Callithrix jacchus: one gene and its partner. The protein of the gene in region 1 purifies or fractionates together with the protein of each later gene. This does not show direct contact. Links are inferred from orthologs where the notes say so. Each region holds a gene or a part of one and is shown on either strand. Other genes may lie near its edges. The genes, in order: POLR3E and POLR3B.

Region 1 (4,390 bases):
AAGGTGTGAGAAGGGAGTGAGCAGAGGTCCTGCTGAGCTCTCTGTCCCCAGCTGCCTCTTAAGGGGAGCCAGCTGGCAGGGTGAGGATCTAAAGAGCTGGGTCTTTTCCTGAGCAAGCTTGGGTGCTTTTGGCCAGAACAGAGGGCATCAGAAGTACTTTGATAACCAAAAGGAAAAAAGTAAATGCAGATTTTTTAAAAATCAAAAGCTTTTTCCCTGACAACTGCTAACAAAAGTAAAAGTAAAAAGTGTTAATAGTAAAGCTCTTGCACCGCCTGACCTGACCGCCACTCCTAGAGGTGACCACTTTTATTACTACTTTTTTTTAATGGAAACGGTCTATGTTGGCCTGGCTAGTCTTGAACTCCTAGCTTCAAGCAGTTCTCCTTCCTTGGTCTCCCAAAGTACTGGGATCATAGGCATTTAAATCACCAAAAGATACCACTAAAAGAGTTGTCCCATCTTTTAAAAAAAACCAGCTTGTTATTAGCAATGGGCCTGTCACTGTCAATGAGATTTAGCTCTCAACTATTTTAGGAGAATGTAGAGATGTAAAGATAAGTTATGCCAGTTTTTTTTTGAGACAGCATCTGGCTCTTGCTTTGTCATCCAGGCTGGAGTGCAGAGGTGCCGTCTCAGCTCACACCTCCTGGGTTCAAGCGATTGTTATGCATCAGCCACCCAAGTAGCTGGGGTTACAGGCTTGTGCCGCCACACCCAGCTAATTTTTGTATATTTAGTAGAGATGGGGTCTCACCATTGTTGGCCAGGCTGGTCTTTACACCTATTTTTTAGTTTAATTGGCTATCATTGTTTATATATGGCATTGTCATGGAATGAATTGAAAATCTGTTCATTTTAAGGCCAAGTATCAGTAATATACAATGATTGCATTTCCTTATTCACTGCTTCCTGTTTTCACTTGTCTAATGTTCTGAACACGTGTATTCTGAACACACATACCAAGGGTGATAACTTTGCTTAATTAAGCTAAGTTCCCTGGAAGCTTCTCCAGTGAGACTGGCTTTTCCCCATGTCTGTTGCTGAATTCTAGAATCTCTGCTTCTTCCTTGCTTTAGCTTCTAAAGAGGAGTTGTCTGCATTCTTTCATGTCTTAAACTGGCTTTCTTTTAACCCTCATGTATTACTATTTGTTACTATTGTAACTTACCTCTTAAAATTCTAGGCCCAAACAGTAATACATGAAGCATCTTTAAGAGAGTTGTCCATTAAGTTTTCAGAATTGGTCTTTTAAATTTAGCCTATATTCTTTCCTTTATCCTAAACTGAGGAAGTTTTCATTATTCTATATATCAGCGCAATTTCAGATGTGCTCTGGTGTGGGTCATTACTGTACTAGACAATTGAGTTCTTACAAAATCCTGTTAATTTTTTTTTTTTCAGAATTCTTATGACAGATATTAGACAGTGAATTCAATCTTTTGTATTTGATTTTTATTTTGGGGTGTAATGTATTTTATGGCATCCTGTTTCATGGATGCATGGCATGTTTGCGTTTTCACACCAGTTTTGACACACTCTTCTCATCTCTGGGCAGCTTACCTGCTAAGTCAGATACACTCCTGCGTTTTCCCCTGCAGAAATATGTTTAAGCCACTCATCCTCTCATGTCTTTTCACCAGTTCTTTTGTTGTGCTGGCATATACCTTTATTTTTATTTATATTCAAGTTTCCACACACAGCATTACTACCTTTATTTCTGTACACTGGCATGCTGGTTCTCTACAGATGACTTGGCTCATCTTTAATCAGGAGTGCTGGGTAAGGGTTTTATCAGAGACTGCAACACAAAGTTAGGTGCATGGCTTGGGTGTCTTGTTCGGGGATGGTTCTCTTTTTAAATCACTGTTTCCCATAATAACATGCTTTTGCTACTAAAGCATCGACAGGTTTTGCTTGAAATTTTTTCCAAAAATTACCGAGTACGCCGAAACATGATCCAGTCTCGGTTGACTCAAGAGTGTGGAGAAGATCTCAGTAAACAGGAGGTGGATAAAGTCCTGAAGGTACATTCGTTTTGTGCATAACAAACAATATCAAAGGCTCTGCAAGGGGCTGACAGCCTGTAGAAAGGACTCGTGTGTATATGAAATCAGGCTTCCCTGGGACCCCTCCCCAGTCAGTCAATGATTGGCATTGGTGGGAAGAAGGGAGGGGGTATGTGCAAGAGGACTGACCCCTTCAAACAGTATAGTCACAGGGGAAAGTTTATAGCCATGAGTGCTTAGTTCCTCTTTCTGGTTGGGCCAGTGAGGCCCCTTTCTCATCCCTCTCTTCTACTTACCACTAGAGACAAAAACTAAAAAACATGGGTTCAGGCTGCTAAAACAAAATAGAATAACAAAATAAGGTGGGTTGGACAAGCTGGGCAGTGGGTTGGCATCTTCTAACATGACAGGGCCTACCTGAAAATCCTCACTCCACTCCCCCTTGAATTTTGGACTATTTTGATTGTTGCCATAGCCATATATTACTTTCAGTAGAATCCATTTTTAAATTTAGTTTAAAAAGGAATATCATGTTTACTATATGAAAGCACCTAATGTACAACCTATAATGCTTTTCTGAACTGACTGTAGTACAAATACCATATTTGCAGCAACACTGCGACAGAAAACTGATGACAATGTCTTTATGTTTTGATCTATTTTTTAAGCACCCTGTTCTGGGCATGTCAGCATTTGTATCTTGTAGGCCCTCACTCTTAAAATACCCCTGAGAGGCTGGTAGTAACCATGGTGGTTGATTTCCCATTTGTATTCTGTTCACTAATCATTAATCAAGTGTTGATACTGTGGACAGACTGTAGTTAACTCCCTTTCCTGCAAAAATCTGCACTTACTCTGTTTCTCTACTCATAGGACTGCTGTGTAAGCTATGGTGGCATGTGGTACCTTAAAGGGACAGTACAGTCTTGACAGTAGTAGCAAACCACTAACGCAGCACATCCAAGCCCAAGTACGAAGGGCGGAACCAGAAGTAGAGCCTCGACTTGCTTCAGACAACAGAGCAAGAGGAACTGACCATCTCATGGTGCAGTGGACAGAAGGGATCATCCTCAGCCAGTGGCAGGCTCAGTTAATCACTCCCAGAAGAGACCAGCTGGGACCTTCTTTGCAGTACAATTTGAAATTCCTGATGTATTTTGCTTATTATTTGGTTTCATTCTCATAATAAAGAGAGTGTATACTGACATGGCAGGATGATAAAAATCATGGTTTAAGATTTTTTTTTTTTTTTGGTAAACTTAATGCCAACAAGGTCTAATTATGTTTACAACATGAAGAAAACCTCAAAAGTTTTCAATTTTTACAATGCCTAGAAGACAATATTTAGTCTTGGATTATCTGCTAAGACCTCCACCGATTTCATTAGACCAAATTGAATTGCTCTACTGTTGGGATTCTGTGGCCACTTTACCTTTGACAACAACCTACGTTATGTAGCAGTCTCAACTGTTTACACGAACCATAGCAAAAAAAATTAGAATCAAATCCATCTCCTCTTAATGTTTGCAGAAAGATGCAAACAAAACCAGGTAAGTATGGAACAATGTGTAAGTGAGGTTATCATACTTTGATGTAAAAATTTCTATTTTGTGTATTTTTAAAATAAATGCTAACACTAAACTAGCATCATGGTGCTATCTTCAAATGGTTACAGGAGGGCGATCTTGGACTCAAGCGTTACATGGATCTAGAGGGAATGGAGCCAGTGGAGGGAGAAAGAGCAGCACCATCCACTAGGAATGGGCGAGTCACACAATTTTGAAAGTTTCTAGCAGCCACATTAAAATAGTTTAAAAAGGTAATATTTTAGCATATTAGCCCCAAATATCTAAAACATCAACATTTAGCAAAAATATTAATATTTTACCTTTTTTTGTATCAAGTCTTCAAAATCTGGTATTTTACACTTTCCTCAACACTGAATCTGTATAGGGTTCAGCCTTACAGGGTCCCATGAGTCCCTCTCTGCTGGTGCGGAGACGAGAAACTGGAGATAAGAGACACAAGACACCAAGAGAAAACAGAGTTTGGGCCCAGGGGTCCATTGCCAGCCAAAGTGCGAATCCAGCAGTGGCCCGAGTGCCTGGACGCTCTTTTATTTTAGTACAAAGCAGGGGGAAGGGCAGGTAGGATGAGGTAATGGTGGTCAGTGATAGGGTCAGGTAAATAATGCATCTTGGAGACGGGCTCAAGAATTTGAAGAAGCTGAGGCGAGGAGAAAACCTAAGGTGTCAGCACTTTTTTCATACTTGTCAGGAAATAATAAGGTCACTAAGATTTGTTACTAATTCTTACCTTCTAAAAAAAGAGGAACAAGGTGCAGAAGTAGAACTTGCAAGTAGACATGGAACGTGATCGCT
Region 2 (4,517 bases), on another chromosome or scaffold:
TGCACTCCAGCTTGGGAGACAGAGTAAGACTCCATCTCAAAAAAAAAAAAAAAAGCAAATTTGCAGGCCCCAATTTACCAATCAGAAAGCTGAGATTGTTTTAATAAGCTCTCCAGGTGATTCTGATACACCCTAAAGCTGGAAAACCTTCTTGATAATGGAAAACAAAGACGACTTTGGCACAGACAACCAACCAACACACTTGAGCCAAACTTGAGAGCCTCTGCTATCTATAAATCACTTTCACAGTCCCTTCTAGGCTAGATGCTACATTGGTTGCAATCTGGTAATGCACAAGAATGAGACACAAGTTGTATCTTGTCGCTGTAATAAGTAAATTATAAGAACTTCAAAGGCAGGGTTCATTCTACTGTTAGTCTTTTACCCATTCTTTTCATATTTCAGATATCAGCGCAATGTTTAGAAAATACAAGCACTGAAATTTAGGTAGCTTATTAGGAAATAAGAACAATTAACCTGGTGCAAGAGTTCTACCTTTATGGGGGAGAAATTGGAAAGCCTATATGTACTTGCACATTTTCATAACTTTTCTTATAACTGTAAAATATACATAAAACTTAGCATTTAACCATTTAAAATGATGTACAGATCAGCAGCATTAAATACATTCACATCGTTGTGCAACCATCACCACTATCCATCTATAGAACTTTTGCATCTTCCCAAACCGAAACTCTGTACCCATTAATTATGGTGCATTTTGTCTCGTTTTTTTCTAACAGGATTTTTCTTTCTATTGATTTGTATGAGCTCATTTTAAATTAGAGAGGCCAGCCCTTTGTCATCTGCCAATTTGTTTTTTGTTAATTCTATTCGTTTTTAAAAATATGTTCATAGAATCACTAAATCAGGTTTAGAATATAAAATCCTCTATGAATTGACTGTGTTGCCGTCTTGAAAGCCTTCATCATCTCAATGTTATGAATATATTCACTTACATTTTCGTCTAAGTTTTTGTTAACATTTCAATATTTAAACCACATAGGATTCACTCAGATGTATTTTATCCCCAAATGGGTAATCAGCTCTTCAAACATCATTTACTAGACAGGCCATCCTTCCCCTACCGTCGTAAATGTCATCTTTTCATACTAAATTTCTCCATGCGTTGGTATATACTCGTACATCTTCCATTTAGTGCTTCTGAGAATTTTCAACACTATTCCATTACACTCATGTACCATTTATTTAACCAATCACCTTTTATTAGGCACCTTTTATTAGTTCAAGTTGCGTAAATTATGCGTTTACACATTTCTTCGGATTACTTTTTAAATGACAACCACTGTGTTTTGCTGGTCTCAAGCATCAGAGAATTGGCAAGAAATCTGACAGCTGCGGTTTAGAATAACCCGCGCCAGATCTCCGAGCTACACCAGAGGGCGCAGTTTCCCGACTCGGCTTCGGTCACATCCGGGTTCCACCGCAGATTCGAGCTGGGAGCAGGCGGAACCTTTCTGCTGCGTCTCTAGCCAACAAGCACGGCGGGGACAGTTTAGGCCTCCGCGCACCGTTCCCCGGGAGTCTTGCAGTTTGCTTGGGGCAGGGAAGGCGTGCGCGGAGGTTTTATCTGTTTCTGTCTCCTTCGTGAGCAGTATGGACGTGCTGGCGGAGGAGTTTGGGAACCTGACGCCCGAGCAGCTGGCTGCGCCGATCCCTACTGTAGAGGTGAGTGCCAGGCACGCAGGCAGCGTCAGCGGCCGAGAGGCGCCTTGAGGGGGCGTTGCCCAGAGTGTTCGGGCCGGCAAGGGGGCGGGCTTGCGGTTTCTGCGCATGAGCTGGGGTTCTGCGCATGAGCTGGGGTTCTGCGCATGCTCACAGCGTCCCGCGTGCTAGTCTTCACAGCCGGACTCCGCGTGCGCGAGTGAAGGCAAAGCCAGGAAGAGCTGTCAGCCGCTGCTGGGGTGGAGCTCTTCCAATATAGGTGTGCGTGGAGAGCACTGGCCCTCGCACTTACTTTGGGGGACGTATTGCATCTTTTCAGTCTTATAAAGGACACTGAGGGCCGGGGAGCTCAGGCCATTTGCATGAGGGACCACAGCTGGCTGTGGTGGTAAAACCAGATCTTCTGAATTCCAGGCTAGTCATCTTTCTTTTTAACTTGGAGTTCAAGTTGGGGTTGCAGGGGAATTTTAGTTCTGAGTATTTACTAAAGAATTATGCCTGTGTGTTTTCTGGGGGAAAGGCTCCATACGTTTCCTCAGATTCTCAGAGGTTAAGGACAGCTGTCCCACAGCGAGCTGCCTAATGAAGTGTGGCTGTCGACATATCTTGTTTTCTGATAAGGCACATGTTATAGTCTCTCTGAGCCTCAAATTCTGCATTGACGTGGAATAGGGAAGTAGAGACATGTGACCAGAGAAGATAGCAAGGGAGAGATTTCAGGGAGAGAGAACAGGATACTTGAAACCTCTTAGGCAAGACCATTGGATGTTTTTGAGGAAGGAAAGTAAATCCAGTAGTATTCGAGTGAAGAAAAATAGAGGAGAAGAGATAAAAGATGGGGGTTAAGTAAGGGTCTTGATTATGAAAAGTTTGGATAAACATCTGACAGGGCTTGGACTTTGTCTTGGAGCAAAACTTTTGAAGGGTTTAAGCAGAATAGTGACATGATCAGTAAATCTGTCAGATTAATAAGAACCTCCTTGGCTAGGTGTGGTGGCTCATGCCTGTAATACCAGCAGTTTGGGAGGCCGAGGCGGGTGGAACACTTGGGCTCAAGAGTTGGAGACCAGCGTGGGCCACATGGCAAAACCCTATCTCTACAAAAAATACAAAAATTAGCCAGATGTGATGGCATGCACTTGTCCCAGCAACTCAGGAGGCTGAGGTGGGAGAATCACTTGAGCCTTAGAGGTCACGGCTGCAGTGAGCCATTACTATGCTACTGCACTCCAGCCTGCGTGACAGAGTGAGACCTTGTCTCAAGGAAAACGAAACAAAACCTCTTTATACTTTGACAAGTTAAGGAAGTTGAATTAGCAGTTCATCAGATTCAGTCTATGTGTGCATGCAATAGGCTGCTGGATCATCATCAGGCAAAATTGTACTGGCCGAGTGCGGTGGCTCACACTTGTAATCCTAGCATTTTGGAAGAACAAGGCGGGCGGCTCTCTTGAGGTCAGGAGTTCGAGACCAGCCTGACCAACATGGTGAAACCCCATCTCTACTAAAAAAATACAAAATTAGCCAGGCTTGGTGGTGCATGCCTGTAATCCAAGCTACTTGGGAGGCTAAGGCAGGAGAATTGTCTGAACCTGGATGGTGGAGGTTGCAGTGAGCTGAGATCGCGCTGTTGCACACCAGCCTGGGCAACAAGAGTGAAATCCCGTCTCGGGGTAGGGGAGAAAAAGCCAGCCTTCACTGCATTAAAAGCCTGGTACGTGGTTAATCTGGAACATGGACTCTTGTCAGTTTGACTACAGAGTCTTCATCCTTAACTGCTAATCAGACTGCCTCTCCAGAGCGCTGAAGAAATAAGCCTGGGAGATTTCTATTTCTTGTCTGAATTTACACAACTATGAAGTGATCAGTGCCATAATTGCAGCCTTCTGATTCAAGAATAAAGATTCTCTTCTGGCACTCTCCACCATCACCTCTAAAAGGTCTTGAGTTCTTAATCTATGCATGTCTGAAATCTCATTTCCCACTGTTTTCCAACCCAGAACCACTCTTCTCTCTTACCTCCAAACTGGCCTACTTGGCACCTGACTTGTCCCAATCCAGTCTGTTCTTTGCTCTGCAGCAGAGCTGTCCATTTAAACACACAAACATGATTATATTGCTCCCTTGGTTAAAATTCTTCAATCTCTGCCTGCTGCTCTTAGGGCAAAATACTAGTGTTTACCGCGTTTGTAATACATTTCTGCAGTCTGGCCACTTCTTACTTCTGTAGCCTCCTTTCCCGTGATTCTCTCCGTCTCTCCCATGAGATCTTTCTACTCTGCTCACACAGTTCCTTCTGGATCTCTCACCCATTCCTATTTGTAGATTAAGTCCCACATTTCTATGATATAACTTCCCTAGGAAGGCCTTTTGTGATTCTACCAGAAGATGGTAGATCTCTGTACTTGCTGCCATTTCCTTTTAAACTGAGATATTAAAATATTTATTGAAACTTTCCGACGTCAGTGTTTTCTCTGAAACTTTTTCTAGATAGGAGCTCAGTTTTGCTTGAACTGGCCATGCCTGGTGTGTTTTTTTGTGCTGAGGGTAGCACAGCATCACGGTAGTATGATAGAAGAAACAACACAAGCTTTGCAACCAATTGATCACTTATTTGTTGAATAAATATTTGTCATTATTACTGAGTACTTACCTGGTGGTGTATTGTTCACAGGGTTTATACAAGTTCAAAAAATGTGTTTCCTGCCTCCCAGTGTGTTACAGGCTTATAGAGAGAGACATGTTAGCAGGTGGAATAACGTGTAGTAGGTACTGTGATACAGGTAGGAGAGGGATATGTTGGTGTTACAAATGGTAGTCAGCATGTGATA

What was found.
Region 2: the proteins of POLR3E (region 1) and POLR3B purify together in Homo sapiens (affinity purification with mass spectrometry; 8 studies listed by BioGRID and IntAct, counting the BioPlex papers as one, with this or other methods). This does not show direct contact. The link is inferred for Callithrix jacchus from reciprocal best matches to the Homo sapiens genes POLR3E and POLR3B.

Annotation. Positions count from the first base shown.
Region 1 is NC_133513.1:22,920,721-22,925,110, forward strand, and holds the end of POLR3E (DNA-directed RNA polymerase III subunit RPC5), read left to right. Parts: intron 1-1,901; coding exon 1,902-2,027; intron 2,028-2,882; coding exon 2,883-2,939; 3' UTR 2,940-3,651; downstream 3,652-4,390. UniProt on the Homo sapiens protein: DNA-dependent RNA polymerase catalyzes the transcription of DNA into RNA using the four ribonucleoside triphosphates as substrates.
Region 2 is NC_133510.1:109,224,634-109,229,150, forward strand, and holds the start of POLR3B (DNA-directed RNA polymerase III subunit RPC2), read left to right. Parts: upstream 1-1,542; 5' UTR 1,543-1,617; coding exon 1,618-1,689; intron 1,690-1,855; exon of another isoform or gene 1,856-1,945; intron 1,946-4,517. UniProt on the Homo sapiens protein: Catalytic core component of RNA polymerase III (Pol III), a DNA-dependent RNA polymerase which synthesizes small non-coding RNAs using the four ribonucleoside triphosphates as substrates.